Canis lupus familiaris: one gene and its partners. The protein of the gene in region 1 purifies or fractionates together with the protein of each later gene. This does not show direct contact. Links are inferred from orthologs where the notes say so. Each region holds a gene or a part of one and is shown in the gene's direction. Other genes may lie near its edges. The genes, in order: GRB2, PTPRE, HSP90AB1, ALK, ELMO2, CTTN and SYNJ1.

What was found.
Region 2: the proteins of GRB2 (region 1) and PTPRE purify together in Homo sapiens (affinity purification with mass spectrometry; 5 studies listed by BioGRID and IntAct, with this or other methods). This does not show direct contact. The link is inferred for Canis lupus familiaris from reciprocal best matches to the Homo sapiens genes GRB2 and PTPRE.
Region 3: the proteins of GRB2 (region 1) and HSP90AB1 purify together in Homo sapiens (affinity purification with mass spectrometry; 3 studies listed by BioGRID and IntAct, with this or other methods). This does not show direct contact. The link is inferred for Canis lupus familiaris from reciprocal best matches to the Homo sapiens genes GRB2 and HSP90AB1.
Region 4: the proteins of GRB2 (region 1) and ALK purify together in Homo sapiens (affinity purification with western blotting; 3 studies listed by BioGRID and IntAct, with this or other methods). This does not show direct contact. The link is inferred for Canis lupus familiaris from reciprocal best matches to the Homo sapiens genes GRB2 and ALK.
Region 5: the proteins of GRB2 (region 1) and ELMO2 purify together in Homo sapiens (co-immunoprecipitation; 4 studies listed by BioGRID and IntAct, counting the BioPlex papers as one, with this or other methods). This does not show direct contact. The link is inferred for Canis lupus familiaris from reciprocal best matches to the Homo sapiens genes GRB2 and ELMO2.
Region 6: the proteins of GRB2 (region 1) and CTTN purify together in Homo sapiens (affinity purification with mass spectrometry; 3 studies listed by BioGRID and IntAct, with this or other methods). This does not show direct contact. The link is inferred for Canis lupus familiaris from reciprocal best matches to the Homo sapiens genes GRB2 and CTTN.
Region 7: the proteins of GRB2 (region 1) and SYNJ1 purify together in Homo sapiens (co-immunoprecipitation; 3 studies listed by BioGRID and IntAct, counting the BioPlex papers as one, with this or other methods). This does not show direct contact. The link is inferred for Canis lupus familiaris from reciprocal best matches to the Homo sapiens genes GRB2 and SYNJ1.

What each region holds. Positions count from the first base shown.
Region 1 is NC_049230.1:6,054,590-6,058,082, forward strand, and holds part of GRB2 (growth factor receptor-bound protein 2), read left to right. Parts: intron 1-33; exon of another isoform or gene 34-103; coding exon 104-226; exon of another isoform or gene 227-526; intron 527-3,202; coding exon 3,203-3,371; intron 3,372-3,493. UniProt on the Homo sapiens protein: Non-enzymatic adapter protein that plays a pivotal role in precisely regulated signaling cascades from cell surface receptors to cellular responses, including signaling transduction and gene expression.
Region 2 is NC_049249.1:37,246,549-37,250,048, forward strand, and holds part of PTPRE (receptor-type tyrosine-protein phosphatase epsilon), read left to right. Parts: coding exon 1-157; intron 158-3,500. UniProt on the Homo sapiens protein: Isoform 1 plays a critical role in signaling transduction pathways and phosphoprotein network topology in red blood cells. May play a role in osteoclast formation and function.
Region 3 is NC_049233.1:12,845,010-12,849,247, forward strand, and holds the start of HSP90AB1 (heat shock protein HSP 90-beta), read left to right. Parts: upstream 1-1,438; 5' UTR 1,439-1,456; exon of another isoform or gene 1,457-1,467; intron 1,468-2,496; exon of another isoform or gene 2,497-2,660; intron 2,661-3,442; exon of another isoform or gene 3,443-3,768; intron 3,769-4,087; coding exon 4,088-4,234; intron 4,235-4,238. UniProt on the Homo sapiens protein: Molecular chaperone that promotes the maturation, structural maintenance and proper regulation of specific target proteins involved for instance in cell cycle control and signal transduction. Undergoes a functional cycle linked to its ATPase activity.
Region 4 is NC_049238.1:23,065,570-23,069,069, reverse strand, and holds part of ALK (ALK tyrosine kinase receptor), read left to right. Parts: intron 1-154; coding exon 155-341; intron 342-991; coding exon 992-1,082; intron 1,083-1,214; coding exon 1,215-1,279; intron 1,280-2,877; coding exon 2,878-3,007; intron 3,008-3,500. UniProt on the Homo sapiens protein: Neuronal receptor tyrosine kinase that is essentially and transiently expressed in specific regions of the central and peripheral nervous systems and plays an important role in the genesis and differentiation of the nervous system.
Region 5 is NC_049245.1:34,241,192-34,244,691, reverse strand, and holds part of ELMO2 (engulfment and cell motility protein 2), read left to right. Parts: intron 1-539; coding exon 540-721; intron 722-2,292; coding exon 2,293-2,392; intron 2,393-3,500. UniProt on the Homo sapiens protein: Involved in cytoskeletal rearrangements required for phagocytosis of apoptotic cells and cell motility. Acts in association with DOCK1 and CRK. Was initially proposed to be required in complex with DOCK1 to activate Rac Rho small GTPases.
Region 6 is NC_049239.1:48,400,505-48,404,004, reverse strand, and holds part of CTTN (src substrate cortactin), read left to right. Parts: intron 1-774; coding exon 775-885; intron 886-3,500.
Region 7 is NC_049252.1:27,955,641-27,959,140, reverse strand, and holds part of SYNJ1 (synaptojanin-1), read left to right. Parts: intron 1-705; coding exon 706-973; intron 974-3,500. UniProt on the Homo sapiens protein: Phosphatase that acts on various phosphoinositides, including phosphatidylinositol 4-phosphate, phosphatidylinositol (4,5)-bisphosphate and phosphatidylinositol (3,4,5)-trisphosphate. Has a role in clathrin-mediated endocytosis.

The sequences.
Region 1 (3,493 bases):
CCTTCCTTTGGCAAGGAGTGTTCTGTTACTCACATTTCGGAGGCTGGATATCCCGTCTCTTTGTGGGGAAGCAGATGTTGACTGGCTTGTCTTCCTTCCTTAGGTGGTTTTTTGGCAAAATCCCCAGAGCCAAGGCAGAAGAAATGCTTAGCAAACAGCGGCATGACGGGGCCTTTCTCATCCGAGAGAGTGAGAGTGCCCCCGGGGACTTCTCCCTCTCTGTCAAGTAAGTGCTTCCCGTTCTGGTCCCTGGAGTCCTCTCCCTCCTCATCTGAAACGTGAAGCCACAGGCCAGGTGTCTGGCTACACACACCAAAGATTGCCAACTGGTAGAGGGTTAGCCTAAACTGTATTTTATAAAGCAGCATAGTTTACATTAAAATAGTAATTCCTGACTCCTCAAAAATTAGTTCTGCCAGTACTGAGTTTAGATTCCTGTGTGGAAACAGCCTTCAGTTGGTGAGTAGCAGCATGTTTTCCCTAATCCCCACTCTCTGCTGTGCCCTTTGCCTTGCACACAGCTCTTTGCTCGTTTGCCCTCTGTGGGATCTCACTCTGGTGGCGTGACTGCTCACCCTTGCAGCTGGCTCTCTTGTACAGATGTCTGGCATAAATCCACCAACACCATCCTAGGCCTCTTACTTCAACTTTTAAAGGTTATCACAAGGGTTTGAGGGTGTTTTGCTTTCCCCAGTGGTAAATTTAAATGTGAAAGGGAGCTGGTAAGCAAGGAATAGGAAAGACTGGGAGCTTTACCACCCTAGGAATCATTGAGAACATAAGTTGGAGTTTTGAGGATTTCATGCAAATTACTTCCCATCTCTGAAATAAGTATTTTTAATCAAATTGTCAAGGCCTTTCTAGTTAATATATTATCAGAGGAACCCCTCCCCTGAAAATCTTACAAATCACTCCTATGACAGCATGATTAGGTTAAAAACTCAGATTACTGGGTGTTATATATAAGTTATGAATCACTAAATTCCTCCCCTATAAAACTAAGATTATATGTTAACTAACTAGAATTTAAATAAAAACTTGCAGGGGTTGGGTCTTAGATCACTGCTACTATAGATTACGTTATTTTTCAATGAAGACCATAAGAGAGTTTGCCATTTACACACAATGTAAAGGTTTTTCAGTGTCCAAAATTAACTGAATATCTTGTTTCATTTTAGGACCAGTATAGTGTTTTTGTTTTTCGGTTTGTTTTTTTGTTTGTTTTTTGTTTTGTTTTTTTTAGTATAGTGTTTTTGAAATGTAGATTTAAACTTAATTTTTGTTTTTGTGGGGTTTTTTCCCCTCTGAAGGTGTGGGAGGTGGCTTCAGGCCATATTCACAACACCACACAGATACATGTCCTGTATAAGTGAGTTTTTTAGTCCCAGCATGAAAAAGTCAAACTGGATCTAATTATTTTCAGAGTTTTCCTCTTTTAACAATGACTTCTTTTTTTTTTTTAATAGACTTCATTTTTTTACAGTAGTTGCAGGTTCACAGCAAAACTGTGTGGCAGGTACAGTGGTTATCCCCAGCAACCCCCCTTCCCAGCACGCACAGCAACAGCGGCCTTCTGATGCACTCAATTATAAACACATGTGAGTGAGGATCTAGTGAAGGAGTATCTTGAGGTGGAATTACTATCTTAATGCTTCTTGCTAATTTGTCTTTTGTCATCTGTTATCCTTACATTTTATACTGACCTGAGTAGAGGACAGTATAGAGTACTGTCTATACAGTACTCTATACAGTATATACTCTATACTCTATACAGTATGAGGAGTACAAGTAGTTAACTCACAGGTTAATTGAGTAGTGGCCAAAGCCACCTTGGCAGGTAGTGTGCAGTGGAGGCCTTGATTATCACTCATCACTGCACATGCTCATACAGTAGCTGCTGGCAAGCTCCCAAACCATTCCATTTTATCAAATAAAAACTTTAAAGAATCCGTGCAATTATTGTTCCAGAAATAAAATTTGAAACAGATGTCATTACTGTCTTTAACAACACAAACACTTTCTCAAAGGAGGTTCAAGAATCTCTACAGTCTTTAGAAGGTTTCTCTCATTTCAAGATGGGAGTCAGTGTTGAAAAACAGCGTGGTGGTCGTTAACAGGTCACTGTCTGGGACCCAGTACACCTTATAAGAACCAAACCATTTGCATTGCACCAGAGGGCATAAGCTTCTGGGGAATGTGCCCTCCTTCCTCACCACACGCAGATTCTCAGGAAAAGCTATATACCGGTCCTGGATGCCTGGGATCTCCTACTTGAAGCCCAGCGCTGCCACCTGCTGGGTTGTTTTTAATTTCCTTTTCCCTTTAAGACTGAAGGAGAGGAAAGACTGTGTCCTTCATTTATAGATCTTCCTAGAGTACTGTTTGAGGGCTGAGCCCTGGTGTCTGTCCTGTGGACACAGCAGTGAGCAGGACAGGCAAAGCCTCACTGGGCTGGTATAGCAGCCACATAACACTGTTCCCCAGGGGCTGGTCAGCACCCAGTTGTACGCCTGCTTCTGCAGGGCAATATAAGAGGAAGCATGTTACCAGGTGATCGAGAAACATCTTTGGGCACCCAGTGCCTCGGCCTCTTATATTTATTTTCCTACTGCATTCTGTTCTGAGACCTTTCACCTGTGAGTAGAACTAAGATTCCTAAATGGAAAACATAATCTACACTTCCCAATTACAGGAGAGTTGTTGAAAGTATGTCCAGTCCCTCCTCTCTCACTTTCCTACCCCACCTGTTGTCATCTTTAAATGTCCTGTAAAGTTTTAATGCTTTTTTTGCTTGAAAAGTTAATGAAGTCACACTTTTCCTTGAATAGGGCTGTTTGATTTGGTACAGCGCAGGGCACTTGGAGTCATGCCCATAGGTTAGGATATTCTTTTTTTATCTTACGAACATCTTCAGAATTAACCTGATGGACAAGGTTTTCCTATATGGCAAGGATTCTTCCCGTCGTCACTGGTCATCATCAGTCCCCTGGCGGGATCTCAAGGGCACTCAGCGTCCTGACTGTCCTGACTTTGCAGCCAGGGGATCGTGTTGTGCTGCAGTCTGGGCCCCTCAGGCCGTGAGAAGTGTTGCCAGAACTCTAGTTCTCAGAAGATGCCTCCTTGATGTGAGGAGCACCTGGCCCCCAGATAGCCAGGACGGAGCCCTCTGACCTGTTCTCGTGGGTGTTCTCTGCCCCTCCAGGTTTGGAAATGATGTGCAGCACTTCAAGGTGCTCCGAGATGGAGCCGGGAAGTATTTCCTCTGGGTGGTGAAATTCAATTCTCTGAACGAGCTGGTCGATTATCACAGATCTACATCTGTCTCCAGAAACCAGCAGATATTCCTCCGGGACATAGAACAGGTGCCACAGGTAAGCCTCATAAGATTGGGATCAGTTTTAGCAATTAAGAATAGCTCCTCAGATAGGCAGGTACCCTCTCAAAGGATTTTTTCTGGGGCTTCTGCACCCATCATTCAAAATAGTACCTTTAT
Region 2 (3,500 bases), on another chromosome or scaffold:
CTGATGGCTGCAAAGCCCCACGGCTCGTCTCCCAGCTGCACTTCACCAGCTGGCCTGACTTCGGCGTGCCTTTCACCCCCATCGGGATGCTGAAGTTCCTGAAGAAGGTGAAGGCTCTCAACCCGGCCCACGCCGGACCCATAGTGGTCCACTGCAGGTACGTCCAGGTGGGACCACAGGGCAGCCCCCCACACACACCTGGAGGACTTGGCTGTCATGGGAAGATGACCGGTGGGCCGGGATCAGGGTGGGCAGGAGGGCAGGCAGGGCCGGGGTGAAAGCAGCCCCCTGCCCAGGGTGAGTGCAAGTTACTACTGACACCTCAGAGGATCCCTCGAGGTGAGAGCTGGAGGGACATTCAGCCCACCCGTGAGAGCAGCACTGTTTCTTCCACGGCATCTGAGGGGAACCCCAGTACCTAGAACAGATAAAAGCCAAGAGGCCTGGTAAATAGAGCTAGCAGGGCTCCCGACAGTTTCACTTGGCCTGCCTCCACCTCCCCCGGAGACCTCCAAGTCACCTCTGCAGGTAGAGATGGAAATCACACTTCTCTGGGGAGCCCCCAGTCTTTATACAAGAGTGCACGGGGCTCAGAGGGCCCACGGGGGCTCAGAGGGGCCACGGGGGCTCAGAGGGGCGGGGAGCCATGGCCCAGGCACAGCTAATAGCAGCCAGGAGCAGCCGTCCAGGGCAGGGCGTCCTGAAGACCTGCTCTGAGGTCCTGGCTGCCGCTTCTCCTCCCAGATGCATCCTCCTCCACCCTCCATTCTCCAGTCCTGGAGGGGCTGGGGACTCACCCCAGGGGTGAGCTTTGCATGAAACTAAATACTACACCAGCCTCAGCTGTCAGCACTGTGATTATTGCTTAGGTTGTGGGAAAGCAGCCTCCAAAGTGATCACTTTGTCCCGACCGGGTGCCCTCTGCCTTTGCACACCTTGGTGTCTCCTGGTTGTTTTCACACTGAGCTTTCATTTCCTCTGAAACTCTGGGAGCCACAGAGGCAGGGTATGAATTAACCCCCTCTGTGGGCTTATGTTACTCCAGGCCCAGGTTGGCTCCCAGTGCAGCAGGTCGTGTCTGAGAAAAGGCCTTGGACTTCGAATTGGTTAACTGGTTTATGCACATTCTGTGTTTGGAGATAAAAGCACAAAGATGGGGAACACTCTGCTGCCAGACTCTCCATCCCCCCCGGGGGTGCTCCGTTAGAACCCTAAGACACTGGGAGGGTGAAAGGGGAGGCCCCTGGCTCCCGGCCAGGGCTGGGGTCCTGGCCCTGGTCCTTGGGAGCTAAGGGACATTGCAGCAGCTGTGCGTGAAGTGAGGTGGCATCTGTAGGGTGACAGTTGCCAGCCCTGCAAGCTGCTCCCAGAGCTGTACTGGAGAGGGGAGCCTTGTGGGCCAGTCCTGCTTGGCCCCAGCCGGGGCGTCTTGTCCGTCGCTCCTGTTCTTGCCCAGACTTCTTGGAAGCCAGAGTCTCCATGTTCCTTCTACCCAAAGGCCTGCATGGCAGGTTCAGAGCATCCTTATCACTGTGTGCAGATGCCTTTTGTCCCTTGTCCCTTTTGTCCTTTGGCAGTGCCAGGGTACTCCCAACTAACCTGTCTGCAACGGCCAAAACCAAGTGAGACCCTGGTGAGCTGGGCCTTCCCTCCATGCAGCAGGGGCACGCCTGGATGGAAGGGCCCGAGTCCCCCCACGGGGACTTCCGTGGACCCATCAGAGATGTGGGGCCCCCTCTGGCAGACACCCTGGGGACTTTGGTGGCCTGTCTTCAGGACCCAGAGTCCGATGCCCCCAGCTGGAGAAGCTGTGGCCGGAAGGGCTCCAGGTTGAGTTCCCGTTGGCTCTGCAAGACCACTGCAGCTGCCGCCTCTCCCTGACGCAGGCTTCTCGAGGTGGCCGCCGGCCCAGCCCCGGGATGGGGATGCGGGACCTACAGAAACGGCCTCTGTGTTGGGTCTTGGGTGGCCACAGGGAGGGGGCTTGGTCCTGCTTTGCTGTGATCCCGCCAGACCCGTGGTGCATGTGAAACCGTAGTGAGTGACACTGTCCTCGCCCCGCTCGCTCCGTCCCGCCCACGGGTGCCCAGCACAGGTGCTCTGGCCATTTATCTCGTTTCCATGCTGGGCCCCCTCCGTGGCCCGGAGTGCCTGCCTTCGCCGGTGAGCACGTGCTCGTCTCCCTGTGGGCAGGTTTCCCTTCGGTGCTGCCACTGCGGCTCCTGGGCTCTCGGGCCTTCTTTTATGTTCTGTTTTGCCACCGGGTGTTTAATCCACGGGAAGTGGAAGGGGCGGCCCGCTCCAGCCCCCTCCTTCCTGGCGAATCCTTCCCTTCCTGAGCCGGGGCCTCCCCACCCCGGTGCCTCCCCACCCTGTCGGTTGGTCGAGTGGGCAGATGGGCGGTCCTTGGCGCCCGCCCACGACGGTCACGGTCACGCGGTGGCAGGAATTGCTGCCCAGAGCGCAGCCTGCCGGAAGCCAGCAGGGTGGGGGAGAGGCTCCCGCTGGGTGGCAGCCCTCGGCCTCCACGTCCCACCTCCAGGGCCACGCTCATCCTCACAGAGGGGCTCTCAGCTCCAGGCCATGTAAGGCCCCCGGGGCTTTGGCTTCCTAGTGTCCTTGCTGACACACTCATCCTCAACGCTAGATTCTTAATCACTTAAAAGGAACCGACATCCTCTGCCCGGATCCCCCAAGATCGGCATCCCCGTGGAGGCCGGCTGCGAGGACCACCTGGCCTCAGCCTTTTCCTGGGGGACCAGCGCGGTGTCTCTCCCGCGTGCACCCCGGGCCAGCCGAGGGGGCCTGTGAGCAGCTCAGGGACCCTGACGGCCTTCCAGCCTTCCAGCCGGTGGTTTTGTGGCCTTCCTCACGCATCGGGTGGGGCTCACCTGGCTCTGCACCCGCTGGTTTCTCTGACTTTGTATCTGTGAAGAGCTAAGACCCCCGCGAAGGGCCTCTCGTGTGTTTTACCTGCTTTCCCCTTTGAGATGAGGGGTCTGCCCCGGGGGACGGTCTTCACCACTGTCCTAGCCCCATTTTGGAGCCTAACCCGAAAGAGGGGTAGCTCCCACCCCCCCACCAAAAAAAGGAGGGAAGTAGGGGGACTCAGCTCATTAAGTTGTGAGCCTTTTTTGTTAAGGAGATGATTTTCCTTTTTGCAAGAGGCTAACGCTGCAGGGGCTGGAGGGGGCAGCCCCGTTCGGTGTGCAGTTCTGGTGCAAGATGCTGCACACACGAGTGTGCGTCCCTAGCGGGTCCCTCGTTCAGCAGATGTTGGCTGAGCACCACCGCGTGCCCGCGTTGTCCTGGGTGCCGGGAACAGGTGCGCGGCCCACCGTCTGGGGGAGATCCGGCAGGTGGCGGAGGGCAGGACAGAGGCCCGGGAGGTGCTGTGGGGCGCGCACTGGGAGGGCGGGAAATCCAAACCCGGGAAGCCACTCGGGCAGCTTCCTAGCGAAGAGGCCACTGAGCAGAGGCCCTAGGGGCCAGCTGGCTTC
Region 3 (4,238 bases), on another chromosome or scaffold:
GCTTCTCCCTCTTCTGGGACATATACCTGTGCCAGGGACTGGCCAGCCTTGGCCCTAAGCCTGTCCCCTGCCTCAGGCTGAGCTGGGAGTCTGATATTTCTCCTGTTGCTATGGTTCACACTTGGCCTGCTGCAGCCCTCTAGGGGCTGAAACCTCCATCTTGTTTCTGCAATTCTGCATCCCAGGAACTCACTGTGGGGGGCTTAAGTGAGTGTCAGCGAGTGGGAGAGCCTTCCAGAAAAGACAGAATTTCTGTGCTAGTGCGTGATTTGAGATCTTCCCATTAGAAGACCCCGGGAGTCTCTGGTCTTAATACTGATCCACAGGAGTGATTTCTGCTGCTTTGGACTTGGGTCCTGGGAAGGGAGACAGCATTGCTACTCCATTCCTGGAGCAAGGAGCGAGGGTTGGTGCAACAGAGGCTCTGAGCTGACTGATCTCACTGAAGCCTTGCTTTCCCAGTGAGAACGGGAGACTCACTTTTACCTCTTCACAGTATTGTGAAATAGTTTGAATGCTCTTTGTGAACTAGGGAGGTTTTTAATTTTCTAGGCCCCTTCTGCCCAGAAAGAGAGAGGGTATGTTGAGGGATGACACACTTCGTTTGAGATCTTGATCAGGAACAGAGAATCCTGGAGGATTCCTGGCAACAGCACCCACAGCTCTTCCCAAACACATTAACTTCCCCAAGTCACAGATTTCTCACACACCATTAAGGAGAATAGGGGGCAGCCCGGGTGGCTCAGTGGTTTTAGCGCCGCCTTTGGCCCAGGGCATGATCCTGGGGACCCTGGATCGAGTCCCACGTCTGGCTCCCTGCATGGAGCTGCTTCTCCCTCTGCCTGTCTCTGCCTCTCTGTGTCTTCATGAGTAAATAAAAATCTTTAAAACAGGTGTGTGTGTGGGGTTGAATAAAAGAGTAAGGAGAAATATAGGAGTGGTGGCTGTGGCTGGGTGATGAGGTCTGGTGCTTGGGGAAAAGATAAGGAATTGGAAGGTCTGTTCTTCGGAATTTAACATATGAATAAGGAAATACAAAGGAAGGAAGAAGGCTGAGGAAGGACGGCGGGCGGTGGTGCCGGAGGCAGCCCCTCCCCAGGATTCCAGGGAACGACCCTGTGGGCCAGGGAGAAGTGGATGGACCCCTACAAGGTCACAGAGCAGCAAGAGGCCATTCTCTTCCGGAGGGGCCGTGGGTCCGACGGCATTCCTAGGGGAGGCCTTAGGTAGACAAGGACGGCTTCCCCTCTGGAAGGCGCGCGAAAGGGGCTGAGCCACGGCGTCCCACAGCTCTCCCGGCCGACTAACGGCTCGGGAGCGCCCGCGCCGCAGCTGGAGGGGAACGACTTCTGGCAGCCTGCAAGGGGGCCCGCTCCTCCTCCCGTCTGCCGGCCGCAGGAGCGAAGAGGGCCCAAACTGAAACCAGATGGGGAAACAGCTCCGTGTGCTCACGCAGGGAAGACGCAGGTCTCCGGGTCCCACTCACTTGGGCGGATGCACAAGTAGGGGAGGGTCCTCCTCCCCGCCCCCCGCGATGGCGAATGCGTCCCCGGGTCTCTGCGCCCCGAAGGCGGCGCCAGCACCACCGCCCCAACAGCCCCAGGCCGTGGGATCGATGGCGGGGGTGGGGGGGTCAATCTTTCCCTTTATGCTCCATCCCACTCCCGAGGGAGCGCTGGGCTCGCCGAACCGGCAGGTGGGAGATGAGGGTCCCCCCCGCGGGCTCCCAGGTTAATAGGGGAACAGCCCGCCTCCTCCCCGGGGACCGCGGCGGCTGCGGACACCCGGCCCAGGCCGCAGAGGGCGGGGCGGCGCCTGCACGGAGGGGGCGGGGCGGGGGCGGGGCCGCCAAGGCGGGTCTGGAAACTGCTGGAAGTAATCGCAGTACCACCATTGCCGCTCCTTCCGCCGGACGCGGGCAAAGAGTCCCCCTGCCGGTGCCGGCCAGGGCCCTTCCCCCAGCCGGAGCCACACCCCGCCGCACAGCCGCGGCTTTCGCCCACTGCCCCTGGGAGGGCCGGGGCGCAAGGCCTCCCTGAGGTTAGACCCCGGATTCCGCACCGTCCCTAAGGAAAACTGCTTCCCCTTCTCGGGTTGTGGGGGTCTGGAGGGCAGATTGTAGCAAGAGTCGAACCCGGGAGCCGAGGTCGGAGCGGTTGGCCGCTTCTATCCCCGCCCTCCACCTTTATAGGTGTTCCTCCAGGCCAGGACTCGAGTGGGGAGGCGCCTGCCTCATGGTTTATAGGAAGGCCAGTGGCACCCGCACCCCTAGATCCCCCACTTATTTCATATGAAATAAGACGTTCCCAGTCTTTAGTTCTCGGAGGGAGCTCATGCCTTGCAAAAGCAGAGATGTACTTGCGTACTCTGAAGGCGGAGACCGAGACCGGCGGCCCCCCCCCCCCCGCCCGCCCCATTTTGGGCCATGACGTCAAGGTGGGCGGGCAGCGGCAGGTGCGGGGCTGAGCTGCACCCTCCTTTAAGGCGGAGGGATCCGGGGGCCGGCAGCTGGTCTGTGCTCCGCCGTATATAGAGCGGCCGGGGGCGCACAGCCGCTCTCTTGAGTCACCCCCGCGCAGCCTTGGTTCGGCGTCGTAGCCGGACGCAGCCCCTGCCCGCCGTGGTCTGTAGTGCTTGCAGCTCTTCCCCTTTAAGGTAAAGTCGTAGCTATTTCCAGGTTTTCCTGCCTGGAGTGCTCTCTTGAGTTGCTCTCGTTCCTCGTTTCCTTTCTAAAGCCTGGGTTTCGTGGAGTGGGAGCGGCCTGTGGGATGGGACGACTCCTAACTGCTTTCGGGGGTGGCCGGGAGGGGGACCGCGAGCTAGACTTGCTTTCTCACCCGTGCCTGGTGGCGGGCGTCCCCGCGGGCGGCGCCTGGCGCTGGGGGAGGTGGGCCGCGGCGCGGGCTGGGGGTGGTGGGCAGCTGCACGTGGTGTCCGCGCCGGCCGGGACGCTGCCATGTTTGCCCCTCCACTTCCGGACGCGGCTACGGGGCGCCGGAGGGTCCCCGCGCGTTGTGGGTGTGCGCGCTGGACGTGACTCAGCACGGCCCGGGGCTGGCCTGCCCGTGCCGCCTGTGCCATCTGTCCCCTGGGACGCGTTTTGCAAGGGTTTTCGTTTTTTTTTTTTTCTGTGACCTTCGGCGAGCAACGTTTGACGGCGGTCTCTGGCCCATAGTGCTTCCTCTCCTTCCAGATCTTTCCTGCAGTGTCGGTGTGGGGGAGGGGAGTGGAGGGGGCAAGCTCGGGAAGATTCATGGGCCCTTTCCTCCCCCGCCTCTCCGAAGAGCTGAGATTGTTCTGGAAGCTTCTGGAACCCGGCGCCCCGCCCTGGTGCCCGGATGCTGGGGCGAAGGGAGGCTGCGCGGTGGCGCCCCCTCCTCGCGTGGCCCTGGCCGACGCACGTCCGGCAGTGACGAGGGTCTGCCCAGCGGACGACGGCCACCATCTTGGTTATGTTTGGTTTGGTCCCACGCTGTAGTCACGTGTGCTGGGGTCGCGATGGAGCTTCTGCCTTAGCGGTTCTTTGTCTCAGCCGCTTGGGCGGGTATCCACCGGCCCCGGGGGTAGTCGGCCCCTGCGCTCCAGGGTGCTTGATGTGGGAGACCCCCAGCGGGAGAGCCAATTGCGAATTCCTTTTAACCCGAAATTGGTCGCCTCGGGCTACCGTTTGTCCTACCAAAAGAAATAGAGCCGTATTCAGTGCTTTTCTCTTGAAAATTATCTGGAGTCCTTTTCGTGTTCCTGGATCCGATCTGCATTTTCAACGAGGTACTCGGTGATGCGGAGTCTGTTGGGTCCCATGGACCACTTAGAGTACTTAGGCTCCAAGGTGTTTTTCCAAAACGCTTTTGACGTCGTGTGTTGTGTTAGAGAAGCTTTTAAAAATTCTTCCTGAATTGGATTTCCACTAAGGGTATAGGCTGAAATCATTGAGGGAAAAGTTTTCTAGTTTTTCAGGAATATGTCTACTATCCAGCCCAAAGCAATTTCAACTAAAAGCTGAGTCTTCGTTGTGAGTAGGGTGAAACGGAGTGTTACCTATGGGGCCACGGTGTTCTTTTGTAATTCTTGACTGTTCTTATTTTAGATGCCTGAGGAAGTGCACCATGGAGAGGAGGAGGTGGAGACTTTTGCCTTCCAGGCAGAAATTGCCCAGCTCATGTCCCTCATCATCAATACCTTCTATTCTAACAAGGAAATTTTTCTTCGAGAGTTGATCAGTAATGCTTCTGATGTGA
Region 4 (3,500 bases), on another chromosome or scaffold:
TGTTAGAATCACTAAGTGTGATGGAAATGTTCAGATCCCAGAGGAGGAGATGGAGATCCAGGAAGGCTTCCTGGAGGAGGTAGCCCATGCTGGGCTTCAAGGGCCAGGCTGCCTGGCCCAGGCCACGTTGTAGCTAACCTTCATCTGCCTGTAGTGTACCGCCGGAAACACCAGGAGCTGCAGGCCATGCAGATGGAGCTCCAGAGCCCCGAGTATAAGCTGAGCAAGCTCCGTACCTCGACCATCATGACTGACTACAACCCCAACTACTGCTTTGCTGGCAAGACCTCGTCCATCAGTGACCTGAAGGAGGTGCCTCGGAAAAACATCACCCTCATCCGGTGAGTGCCCCCCTGCCACTGTACTCCGGGGTGGTGCGGGTGTGGGAGGAGTTCAGGCTGGATGGTCATCCCCACACCATGGATTTTTCCAGCCGCAGGAGGCCAGCACAACCACCCCTCAGGGCAGTTCCAGCCCTCCCAGGTTTAATGCTTAGGGCCATTTGGAGAGGTATTTAACTGTTTAACACCCCATATATTCACGGGGTTTGCACAATGAATGGAGAGCAAGACAGGGAACCAGAACATTCCTTGAAGTCCCCTGAAGCGCCCCCTCTCAAGTCTTCTCGGCCCCTCATTCTCCAGGTGGAGCAAAGTGTCCTCCTCTGAGCTTCCAGGGCACCCCATGCCTTCCTCCATCATTTACTGAGCACACTCTACAGGAATGTCTGCCAAGGATCTGTCCCTCCCCAAGAAGTGGGAGCCTCTCCCCGGGCAGGGCCCTGTCCTCTTCACCCCTATGACCCTGACGGATATCAAAAACCTAGTTCGTCTTCATTGAACAATAAGGCAGGGGAGGCCTGGCACTGTATGGCAAAGCCAGGTGGAGGGTGTTACTCCTCAGTTTGCAGGAAACCCCCTGCCTCTTGTGTGCCTTTCTCCTGGCCCCCACCCCGCCCCCTCTGCCTGACCTTGCCTTTTCCTTTGCACAGGGGACTGGGCCACGGTGCGTTTGGGGAGGTGTATGAGGGTCAGGTGTCTGGAGTGCCCAGCGACCCGAGCCCCCTGCAAGTGGCCGTAAAGGTAAGAGGCGGCTCCATCATGGCCCTGATCTTGGCCGGCAGTCTCTATGGCCTCAGCTCTTGGACCACACACCCTCTTACCCCTGCGGCTCACAGCCTCCTCCTCCTTTCCACCCTCCCCTTCTGTACCCAGACGCTGCCTGAGGTGTGTTCTGAACAGGACGAACTGGATTTCCTCATGGAAGCCCTGATAATCAGGTAAATAAAGCCACAGAGAGACGCCCCCTGTTAGATGTTTCTGTCTCCAGAGGAAATGGTGTTGTCCTCCAGCGTCCCCTTCCTCCCCACCAGGAGGGTCCCTAAGATTTTAACACATCTTACCAGAGTGAAATAGCCCCAGGTGGTCGTCTGAGAAGAAAAATCTCTGTGGCCTAATAACCAGAGGGATATCCCTCTGCCTTCCACTAGCACCCCTGTGTCACCCAGTGGGATGTTCCCCAACCCCCCCCCCTTTTCTGAATAGAGCATGCTAATTGTTGCCAGTGGAAGACACACTTACGCCCCAGGTAACTTTTCGACAAAGCCCCTCCCCAGTTCCAGCTCTTAGATCTTGTGTAAAGACCCGCGGGCCTAACTGATGAATTCTTGAACACTACCTCTGAAACTAATGATGTGCTGTATATTGGCTGATTGAATTTAAGTAAAATAATTTAATTTAAAAAACAAAAAAAGAAGTGTGCCCCTAGATGTGATGGAGACCACCGCATCCTGTTCCCCACCAGCTGGCTTACACCCTTCAACGTGTGACTCTGGCGTCCCCTAACTAGGAATCTCAGTGCCCAGGGCTTGGGAGGGCATGTGCTCCGGCCGCAGACCACCTTAAGGAGGACACAGGTGCTTGACCTTGAGATCTCGCCACACTCATAGCCTCCTGTTATGCTGGAGAGCCTCAAACATCCAGACACATGCGAGTGGCCTCGGGTCCCTCCCCCCCACCCCTGCGTGGAAGTGGACAGTATGTGAGGTGCCTGTGTTGTCCACAGAAGGATGCACAGCAGGGTCAGGGCCTTGCTTTAAGGGTAACCTATTGTCTGATTACACATGTAATACATGATTATTGAACAACACTTGGGAAGTGTAAGATGATATGGAAGGAGACCCAAATCACCCAGTCTCACTCTTGCTGATAACCCGCCACTACTCTATTTCAGCATAGAGCCATGTAGACCTTCGGCTCTGCGTGTGTGTGTCCAGACGGAGTTCACCCGCCCCCCTGCCCCACACGTCCTAACAGGATCACATTAGCAAGAAAACCCAAATCGTAGGGCCTCTCGGCCAGACTTACTCCGTCCCCATGAGCACCCATGGGGGAGGCACGCACAGGCCTCTTCCTCACTCTCTTTCACACACGGTCTCCTGGCAGGGTTCACTCGGTCCCCAGAGGAAGCAGTTCCTTCAGCTCCTCTGCCTGACGCGTCCTCGAAGAACTCACACATGAATCCTAGCAAGCAGTCCACGCACCACTGTCCCCACTGTCCCAGACCCTGGCCGCTCTCTCGTCCCGCCCGCCCTCTGACCCCACCTCCTTACTAAGTACCTGTGCAGCAGCCTCCTGCCTCCAACCAAACACTCTCATGCAGACTGGACTCCTGCCCGGCCTGCCCTCTGGTTCTCGCACCTGCTCAGGAGTGAGATCCCCCCCGGCCTAGGCTGGGCATGGGACCCGGCTACCCACATGACGGAAGGCATTTACATAATGCAGCTGCTGAAAACATAACTTTGCATCCTGCTCTTCCTCTTTAAGATTTTCCCAGACTCAGCTCAGTTAAATTTGGTTACTCCCCTCTGCTCTGCAGCAAATTCAACCACCAGAACATCGTGCGCTGTATCGGGGTGAGTCTGCAAGCCCTGCCTCGATTTATCCTCCTGGAGCTCATGGCAGGAGGAGACCTCAAGTCCTTCCTCCGGGAGACCCGCCCTCGCCCGGTGAGTGAGAACCAGTCTTGCCCTAGTGGTTGGAGCCAGGGAATGGAGCAGAGGGCGGGAGGGGCAAGAGTGGGCAGCCTGAGAAGCAACCTACTCAGTGGGACCGAGGGAGTCAGCCCTGGGGCTTGTATCTGGGGGAATGGCCAGGAGAGATTGCACAGAAGGTAGACGAGGGCTGAGCCCACCCTGGGGAGCTTGAGCAGGGCTTGTGCAATGGGGCCTCCAGCCTGAATCCCTTTTTGTGACCTGCTGATTCCGAGAATTAGGGACAAGCACAGAGGAGGACTTTCATGCCAGCCATGCCATTAATTCAACTGACTTGGGGACAGGACATTCTACATCTACTCATTCTGGACCCCACTAACCTCATTTCTTAAGTGGGGACATCCTGACCTTGTACCTTTACTGTCAAAATAAAATACTATAATATTTATGAAGGTTCTGCATGTGTGTCATGATTAAGGGGCTGGAGCTTGGGGGAGTGAAGAAACCT
Region 5 (3,500 bases), on another chromosome or scaffold:
CGCTCAACCATTGAGCCACCCAGGTGTCCCTGAAAAGGACTTTAAAGGTGATCATCAGATTAAATTCTCCATCCAGTGCAAGAATCCCTCGTGAAGCATCTCTGACAGCCAGTTGTCCTGAGTCTCCTTGATTGTTTTTAGTGACTGAGAGGTCGTTATGTCGAGACAACCTGGTCCACTGTCTAATGGCTTAAATTAATAGAAAACTCCCCTCTGTGGAGCCAGTATTGTTTTCTCTATGACTTGCTGGAGGTGGTGGACTATTGTCTCCCGGTCTTTTGTAGTCCTTCACTGGGAAGTTTCTGTAATCCATAGACCAGAGCACTACAGAAAGGATATACGTAACTACAGATTGGTCTTGGCACAATGGTAATTCCATGATTGATCCAACAAGCATTTTTTAAGCAACTCCTAGACAGCATGAACAAGTAGTTCTGCCTCGGGCTTGGATGTCCACAGAAAAGCCTTTATGAGCTACTCACAGAGCAGTAACCTGCCACAAGGAGCAGATGGCATACATCTTGTCCCTGGTGTCATAGTCCCGGGCTGCACGCCAGCTGATGGAGAGGACCCAGTCATCCAACATGGAGACCCGGCTGGATGCCATGAAAGAGCTGGCCAAGCTCTCTGCTGATGTGACCTTCGCCACTGAGTTCATCAACATGGATGGCATCGTCGTGCTGACACGGCTTGTGGAGAGTGGAACCAAGCTCTTGTCCCAGTGAGTATTACTGAGCTCTTACTGGGGGAGTTTCAGAAGTCTTCCTTCATTCTGCAGGGGATCCTTTTCTCATATTCACTGAGTCACCTGAATTTATTGAACACCTTCTATATACAGAGCAGTGTGCCCAGTACTGGGGTCTGTAAGAGGAATTCTCTCTTGTGGTCCTGAATCTTGTAGTCTAGTTGGTCTTCACAGATGCCAAGCCATAGTGAAATGAGGGGGTATAGGAAGAGAGAGGGCATGTCGTGACAGATCTGTACATTTATGGAAAATGATTGGCCTGGTGGAAGCTAGTGAGTGGACTATCCATGTTATTGACCAGAAAAGATCTGTCTATTCTTAATCGTCCCCCTGCTTCGTCCCTGTCCAGTCACCTCCCACTTCTGCACACGCACATGCACGCGCACACACACAGGGCTTCCTCCATGCTCACCATGGGTTCGCCATCTCCCTTCCACCCATATTCACAGGGAGGAGGTCCCAGGAGTATCGCTCCAGAACTTTGCGATACTCCGCGGACACCTCTGTGGTGCTCCAGTGCTAAGATGAGTGCAGCGGGACACTGTGCTGTGAATGATTAACAGATGTTTAGTTAGCTGTCTAGGCCAGTGGTGGTTTTCTGTCTCTCTCAGCTGGCACAGGGGGAGTCTGAAATCTTCAGTCAATAGACCACCTTTTGAAATTTTCAGCCAAACAAAGCAACTAATCACAGGTGTTTAAGTCTTGGATTTTGCGGCTGCACTGACCTCCTGAAACCTTCAGTGGCCATCAGCCTTCTGCCATCTCTGAGGGGTGCAGGATTAGACTGGCCCTGGTTTCCTCCTCTTTAACCTGGAGATGCTGCTTATATTGGAGTATCGCCATGAGGAGTGTTGTTAACGGGTCCAAATCTGCCTTGCCAGTGGGAATAAGGTTTGTTAAATCTAGAGCACCGTACAGATGTGTAAAGGGTTGTATGTAGAGAGAGAAGGGACACAGGAGAGACGGCGTGGTAATCCCCATCCTCCATCAGCACTGCAGCAGGGCTTTGCATACACTGTCATCTTGCCGCCGCCACAACCCTGTGATGTTAATGCTGTGAGATAAACTCAGTTTGACAGAGGAGGAATTTGAAGTTTGAAAAGATAAAATTTGCATAGTTAGTAAATGGTTGAACAGGAATGGAGCCCGGGTCTGGGGTTTGTACTCTTTGTCCTATACTCTGCTGCCTCTCGGCCTTGAACGTGGGCTGTTATTTCCCTTGGATACGCCTGCCAAGTATTGGGGTTGATAAAAGTCTGATACCTTTTTGGTTTTGGGAAATGGATGAGTGATTGTGTTTAGATGAGGTGATATGGGGAAGGAGAGCCAGTGCCCAGGTAGCTCTTTTTTTCCCAGAGATGTATACCTGGACAGAATCTGCTGCACACCTGGCGAGGGATGCAAACAGGTGCTTATTCATGGCTGTGCCTACCCACCCCTTGTGGGGCATTTAAGCTCAAAGCCATCTCCATTATGGCTGCCATCACACCTGTGTTCCCGGTTTTGAATCTTTGTATTATTTTGTGTGTGTTCTGCTTATGTCTCAGCTACAGTGAGATGCTGGCATTCACCTTGACTGCCTTCCTAGAGCTCATGGACCATGGCATTGTCTCCTGGGACATGGTTTCAATCACCTTCATTAAGCAGGTGAGGCCTCCAGCATTCCATCTTCCTCTCCTCCCTCTGTGGCCAGTTGTCCTCTCAGTTTATGGAGAGATGCAAGCAAGACAGTCATCCTACTGAGAGTTAACTTTCTATCCCCCAAGGCCTGACTTTTCATCCTCATGCTTGGTCTTCCTGGGATCCTGAAAGAGTTCCTTCACTGTTCTGTCAGGGCCTGCTCTGAGAAGATGGAAACAGGTTTTCAGAATTGACTGTGGCCAAAGCGGGATGGGATGATTAGTGAGACTTGAGATGATCCCAACCAGTCAATCAGTACCAGCCCTGAGTCTTCTGACCTACTTCCCAAGAGCTCCCTTCTCTTTGGCTATACATGTTCATTTTGTTCACCTTTTACCTTAGGTTTACAAGTCTGCCTTCTGTTGACAAAGCAGCCTGCAAAGCAGCTTGTTTGGATGGTCAGATCAAACTTGGTGGGTGGGAGGGGACACTTTTACTTTTGCCCTCCTTTCTTCGACAGGAAGAGGCGGCATCAATGCCAAAAACTGGACTAAACTCAATGAGTAATATATCCACAGATACAGAATCAGAGCTGTCATTGGCTTGGGACACTGGGTACCTCCTTTTTTTTTTATTATTTTTTATTTTTTTATTTTATTTTATTTTATTTTTTATTTATTTATGATAGTCACACACACAGAGAGAGAGAGAGAGGCAGAGACACAGGCAGAGGGAGAAGCAGGCTCCATGCACCGGGAGCCCGATGTGGGATTCGATCCCGGGTCTCCAGGATCGCGCCCTGGGCCAAAGGCAGGCGCCAAACCGCTGCGCCACCCAGGGATCCCCCACTGGGTACCTCCTGATGCTGGAAATATTCAGACAAAAGTGAAATGACCATGTGTCGGGGACATTATAATGGGGGTTGAGAATAATGGGAAATTACTAGATCACAAGACTTTGAGGTTTTCCTGTCAAGCCTCTGCTGTCCTGTGTGCATGCAGGGACAGAACATGTGACAGGAGAAGGGTATGTCGAGATAAAAGGAGACCCCAGGAAAAAAAAAAAGGAGACCCCAGTTTCAGTAAGATCCTCTGCTTTCTACACTCAGCTTTTTCATGCCTGAACCTTTATTTTG
Region 6 (3,500 bases), on another chromosome or scaffold:
GCTGCAGACAGGAGGGCAGCCCTGCCCCGCTGCGCCGGGCCAGAGAGAACACTGTCATCAGAGGCGGTTTCCTGGGGAGGACCATATCACTATGGGGCTCCCCAGGCTGTGGCAGAGGCTGCCTTTTCTTCCTCTGAGCATCGTTGTACCAGGAGAGTCCACTCTCGGGTTCGGCTGGCAACAAGCTCACTTTCCCCCCAGCCTTGGAAACCAGAGCCTGAGATCACTGTTGCTTTACTGTGCGTGTGGTCCTCACATGGTGCTGGCTAACCTTCAAGTCGTGACAGTCTTTTAAAGCCTTTTTTTTTCTTTCTTTCTTTCTTTCTTTTTTTTTTTTTTTTAAATGGAAGCATGTTATTTTTTCAAAGTGCTTGGTGTACTTTTTGTGAGCTGGTTTACGCCTGTGTCTTGCGTATCATCGGATGCCCTGGGGGTGGGCGCTCTGTCCATCTGGCCTGGCATGGACCTCTCTAGTCCCTTCGGCAAGGGGTTTGAGCTGCACAACTTGCTTTATTTGGACAGTTAATTTCTGCAGTGGGACCACAGCTTCTTGTGCCATTGTGAGAGGCTCCCCTCTTGGGGTTGCAAGGGATTGCGCTCTGAATGGAGTCTGGGTTCACTCCTGCATGACCATGGGGGGACTTTTAAACTGTGCGCTTGATCTCTTGCTGTGTCCTGACTCCAAAATGTTTTTGTCTTGCTCAGTCGAAGAACCGAGGTGACAGTTGAGCCTGTCATCGAGCTTCTTTACTGACTGCCGCCCTGTCTCCTCAGACTACTCAAGTGGGTTCGGTGGCAAGTATGGCGTGCAGGCTGACCGGGTGGACAAGAGTGCCGTGGGCTTCGACTACCAGGGCAAGACGGAAAAGCACGAGTCACAGAAAGGTCAGGCCACTGGGAGCACCACTTCTCCCTGTGTGGGGCCTGCCTCCTCCCTGCTGCGCACTCACAGGTCCACACCAGGGATTTCTCTCCCCATGCCAGCTGGCTTGTGTGGCATTTCTGCTGTTTTTGTTTTGTTTTGTTTTTTTAACATTTTATTTATTTATTCATGAGAGAGAGAGGCAGAGACACGGGCAGAGGGAGAAGAAGCAGGCTCCTCACTGGGAGCCCAATGGAGGAGTCGATCCCAGGACCCCAGGATCATGACCTGGGCTATTAATCCACCCAAGCGTCCCTTCTGCAGTCTTTTTAACTGAAATTGTCAGAGGGCTCTTGTTCTGTTCAGGTCAGCATACATCTGCCTTTTCTGTCCCCATCTTGCAAGGAGGCTGTCAACATTTAACCATTCCTCTTTGGAATGTGAAATTTTGGTTATTTGCAATCTTTGAAGCTAAAAATCAACTACAGTGAATATTCTTGTTCCCTGAGTCTCATAGATTTTTAAAAAATGATTTTTTAGAAGAGTAAATTTCCAGAAGTAGAACTGTTAGGTCAAAGGACGTTGAGTTTGAAATTTTGGTGGCTACTGCAGATTGTCCTCACCAGCTGTGCTGATTTTTCCCTCCATCATTGGAAACCCTGCCTGGCGAGGGATGTCTCCATGAAGGGTTTATAGATGTGGTCCCCTCTTGCAGTGGCCCTGGATTGTTGGTTCTTCTGCATTATTTGTTTCATATGGGCTTCACGTTTAAATATTTTTTTTTTTAAATACCTCTACACCCAACATGGGGCTTGAGCTTACAACCCTGAGATCCGCTGACTGAGCCAACCAAGCGCCCTTGTGCGTTTACATTTTTAAAAATAGTTGCCAACATATAAAAACAGAATTCACATCTTGTTTAAAAACCCAGATTTCTTTAAAAGACAAATATAGGGATGCCTGGGTGGCTCAGTGGTTGAGTGTCTGTCTTCGGCTTAGGTCATGATCCTTGGGTCCCGGGATCAAGTCCCACAGTGGGCTCCCTGCAGGGAGCCTGCTTCTTCATCTGCCTATGTCTCTGTCTCTCTGTCTGTCGTGAATAAATAAGTAAATCTTTAAAAATACATAAATAAAAGACAAAAATGAAAATGCCCATTGGAAACACCATGGGCGTGTCAGTTGCCTGGGAAGTGGCAGTGAGGCCTTTGGGGCAGCTGACTTGGCTGTGGGTGTCACTTCCTGTCATACCTGGCCTGCCCACCCACCCTGAGGCCACAGTCCTGGCACACAGTGTGCCCCACAGGGTCTCTTTAGACTCTGCCTCTTCTACTTGGAGCAAACTTGTGCTCCTCTGCCCAGTATGGTACGCACGGTGCTCATCCGGGCCTGCACTTAGATCCTGCACACTGCTATTCAGATTTTCTCCTGGACATGCCATTGAGGAGGAATGAAAACCGTTTCTGAGAAGTCAGAGAGCAGAAGCCAAAGGGCATGGGGCAGACAGGGTTTCTCTGCAGCCTTGGGCCTTCCCCCAAAGGGTTTGATCTTTGTGGTCTGCTCTGGGAATGTGGCCCTGGTAGAGCCATGCTTTAGTATGGAGATATGTCGGTGACTTAGCTCTGGGTGGAAGTGATGGTTTCTGGAAGATGCTCCACATCTGTCCTCTTTCTTTGAGGGTACTCCCAGCACACCTCTGCGGCTTTTGTTTATGAAGCAGAGTGACCTTTTATGTATTTATTTATATTTTTTAAAGCTTTATTTAAGGACATAGCAAGAGAGAGCACAAGCAGGGGCAGAGGCAGTGGGAGAGGGAGAAGCAGACTCTGCTGAGTAGGGAGCCCTGATGTGGGGCTCGATCCTAGGACCCTGAGATTATGACTTGAGCCAAGGGCAGACACTTAACCGACTGAGCCACACAAGTGCCCATAGTGTGACCTTTTAAAAGCTTGCCTCTATGGCTCTGGTGGCTCCTCTCAGTCCCAGAAGCTTTATTTATTTTTATTTTATTATTTTTTAAAGATTTGATGTATTTATTTATGAGAGACAGGCAGAGGGAGAAGCAGGCTTCCTGTGGGAAGCCTGATGTGAGACTCGATCTCAGGACCCTGGGATCACCCCCTGAGCGGAAGGCAGACAGTTAACCACTGAGTCACCCAGATGCCCCTCCCAAAAGCTTTATAACATGCTTGTTTTGTGATCTCTTTTGGAATGAAGGAAAGATAGTACAGTTGTGAAAATCTGCTGCACTTGCTATTCTTCGTGTTTTTGTTGCTACACACACAATAACACTCTGGAGCGCTCTGTATTAGTGTGATCTTACAGTGTACCTGAAAGAGTTTTGGCCTGTGTGTTTTGTTTTTAACTGGGTGATAAGGGATCCCTGGGTGGCGCAGCGGTTTGGCGCCTGCCTTTGGCCCAGGGCGCGATCCTGGAGACCCGGGATCGAGTCCCGCATCGGGCTCCCGGTGCATGGAGCCTGCTTCTCCCTCTGCCTCTGTCTCTGCGCCTCTCTCTCTCTCTGTGACTATCATAAATAAATAAAAGTTAAAAAAAAAAAAAAAAAAAAAAAAAAAAACTGGGTGATAAAAGTACTTTCTCAAAGAATCCACGGCCTGCTCACTGGTTTTGTTGCTGGTGT
Region 7 (3,500 bases), on another chromosome or scaffold:
TCACAGTCCAGTGAGGTTTATTTTAATCCTGGTTTGTGAGGGAGTGTATCTCAGGTTGGTTCTGTTAGCACACTAAAGTTGGTCTAGATAATAAGTGGCAGAGCCAAGATTCAGGGCCACTTCTGCCTGTCAAAGTACACCACCACTGAATTTCGCCTTCATGCTAATTTCATGGGATTTTTGCCAAAATTAGTGAAAATATCTATGAAAGTTTTTGTAAACCAAATTGCTTTATAAATTGTTATCAAGGGCTTTCTGTTCATATGTCGACAACAGCAGCTCACATTTATATTTTTTCCATTTCTTTGAACTGTGCTATTTACAAAGAGCTCCCACATTTATTGTCTTATGTGGATTTCCTGACAAACATAAAGGAAAGATGGGGAAGATAACATATAGATTATTTTTTTACTTGATAAATTTTTTAATATCAGATTAATCAAAGGAATAATTTCATCAATGTGAGATTATTCTGTTAATGTTTAAATGGTTCATGGATCTAAATGTGTTTAATCAAGGATTTTTTTCAACTTTTGCAAAAATCCAGTTGTAAATGTAAACATGTCCATGTCAGTTTAAAATAAGCATGCTGTCAGATTTTAAAAGTTGGAAACATGACAAGAAAGTTGGAGGAAATTTTGAATAACTTGAAAAATATTGGGAATTCAGGGACTTTTCATCCGATGAATTCTTTGGTTTTTGCAGGTGATACCATGTTACATTATCTGGTTTTAGTCACTGGATGTATGTCTGTTGGAAAAATTCAAGAATCTGAAGTTTTCCGAGTTACTTCTACTGAATTCATATCACTACGAATTGATTCTTCAGAAGAGGATCGCATTTCAGAAGTGCGAAAAGTTTTGAATTCAGGAAACTTTTATTTTGCATGGTCTGCATCTGGAATCAGTTTAGATCTAAGTCTTAATGCACATCGTAGCATGCAAGAACACACAACTGATAATAGATTTTTCTGGTGAGTTTGTGTTAACGTTTTTTCCCTTGGTAATCATGTGCTTGCTGTGCAATAGTTTGGTGATTTGGTGCATAGTGTGTTCATCAGTTATTTCCAAAGATAGCAAGGATGGGCATTGCTGATTGAGCACCCCACTGTCTCCTGCTCCAGAATCCTCAGCAGAGCATAGCAGGCAGCCAGTGTCAGCTTATTGAAGTTCCCATGTGACATGCAACCCATTTGCTCTGCCCAATCTAAACTGACCTTTCGTTTCTGAAATATATTTAAGATATTTATTTTAAAATTAAGAATGAATTAGTTGTAATCAAGTTGTGATACTCATATTTACTGTTCATAGTTTTGAGATCTTGTTTCTGGCAGTACTGTTTTTCTTTTTTCTTTTTCTTTTTTTTTTTAGTACTGTTTTTCTAAGACAGCATTGCCTCATTTTTTTTTTTAATTTTTTATTTATTTATGATAGTCACAGAGAGAGAGAGAGAGAGAGAGAGGCAGAGACACAGGCAGAGGGAGAAGCTGGCTCCATGCACCGGGAGTCTGATGTGGGATTCGATCCCGGGTCTCCACGATCGTGCCCTGGGCCAAAGGCAGGCGCCAAACCGCTGCGCCACCCAGGGATCCCCTCATTTTTAATTTAAAGGTAATAGGTGCATAATCTTGATTTAAGAGCAATGGACTGTGAAGAAGTGATATGCTAGGATAAAGGTTAGTACTATAATAAAGTAAGACTTAAGTAGGTAATGGATATTTCATGATTATGCATAAACTGTACTATAGTATGCACAAAGGTAAGCACATGTAACTATAATTAGTGCTGCTTTATTGGAGCTGACCAGTTTTCTAGGATATTGCTTCTCTTGTCCACAGTCAGCATTGCTGTGGGCATTTTCCCCTAACATCATGTAGCAATTATATTTCATTATGTTTGCACGTTCTAAGACCGCAGTCCAGGACTCTCTGCCCTTGGGTCTCCCTCAGTAGGTCAGATTCAAGGTGTTCTGGATATTTTCTTTTCCTCCCACTTGCACCATCTACCTATAGTCCTTGAGTGGCCCGTTTAGTCTGACCTATCTGTCTTGGGTGTCAGAGGGCTCAAAGTCAACAAAACCTTAGGATAAGAAACAAACTTTAGAGGAAGCTTTTTAGCTAATGTGCAAGTTTTTTTTGGCCCAGCATAGTAATACAGAGGAGAAACGAGGCAGAATGAAAAAAAGACTCCAGCATCCTAGAGACTTGGAACCTCACAAAGGAGGAGACAATGAAGGGCTGGGAAGGAATGGTTAATAGGGCAATTAAGTGGGCCTAGAGGTCAGCCCCACACTTTTTCTGATGGAAGAGACATGGAAATCCCTGAAAAGTTAAGGTGGCGCAGATGGGCAGGGCAGCTGCCCTGACTTTTTTCTCCCCACTCTGGTCATTCTAACCCCAAATATCTTAGATTAAGAGATAAAAATTTTCTTGCCAATAATTAGAAGTTTAAGCAGGTGTGGATGCATTGGCTCCAATGATCAGCAGTTAAGCACATTTGCTAAGTTTAACCAGTAGGAGTAATTTATTTATTTATTTCATTTACTTAAGGGTGGAGGTGGCAACAGTTTACCTAACAGACTGAAGGGGTTTATTGAATAGGAGACAGGTTGAACAAAAGGGAGACTAAAACACCAAAAATGAGTTTTGGTAATTTTACGCTTTCTACAATTTTTCCAAGGATTGGCATTCTTGAGCTTCACCTTGCATAGAAAAATGAAAGCTTTATGAATGTATTATGCATACTCTTGTAGCTTAGTAGAAATATTTTCCAGGATACAGCCAAGTAAGTTTTGTTTCCAGAGTCACAAACACCTATCACAAAAACTCCACTCATTTATTCCTTTGGAGATTTGAAGCTGCGGCCAGTTGAGAGTTGTTTATGAATTTAAATAGAATTAAGACAGCAATTCATTGACAGCAAAGAGAAATGAAAACTGATGGTAGAGAGAGAAACTACCTGAACAAATACATAGGATCCCACTTGTATTTAAATGGAGACAGGTATATTGCTTATACCTCTGCCATGACATGGGACTCTCTATGGTATCTGGACATACTGGATCACAGTCATTTGAACTTCACCTCAGATCAGTATAGGCAATAGTAGAGTATGGAGGCTTATGTCATATTTTGAAAATACTTAATGGCCATTGGATTGAGTGTTAGTCTAATAGTAATCTCACCATTCACTTACGTAGATGGTTTATCAGAACTGCACATGCCCACCAGCTGTCTTATCTCTACCATCACCTATACCCTGAGGAGGAGGGCTGGGCAGCTGCTGGTCTAGCAGTAGTGCTGTGTATTAATGAGACTAAGACAGCGAGATAGTGCAGAGTACTTAAGAAAAATTTCTACCTAAAACAGGGGAGTTTTAAAACTTGAGAACCAAGCTTCAGTATTATAGAAAATTCACTTTTATGAGACTCCTGGTTCTCTGAAAAGCCAGCCAGTAAGTTTTTCTGCATAACAATATATTTCCTTTGGTGATAAATTGGTC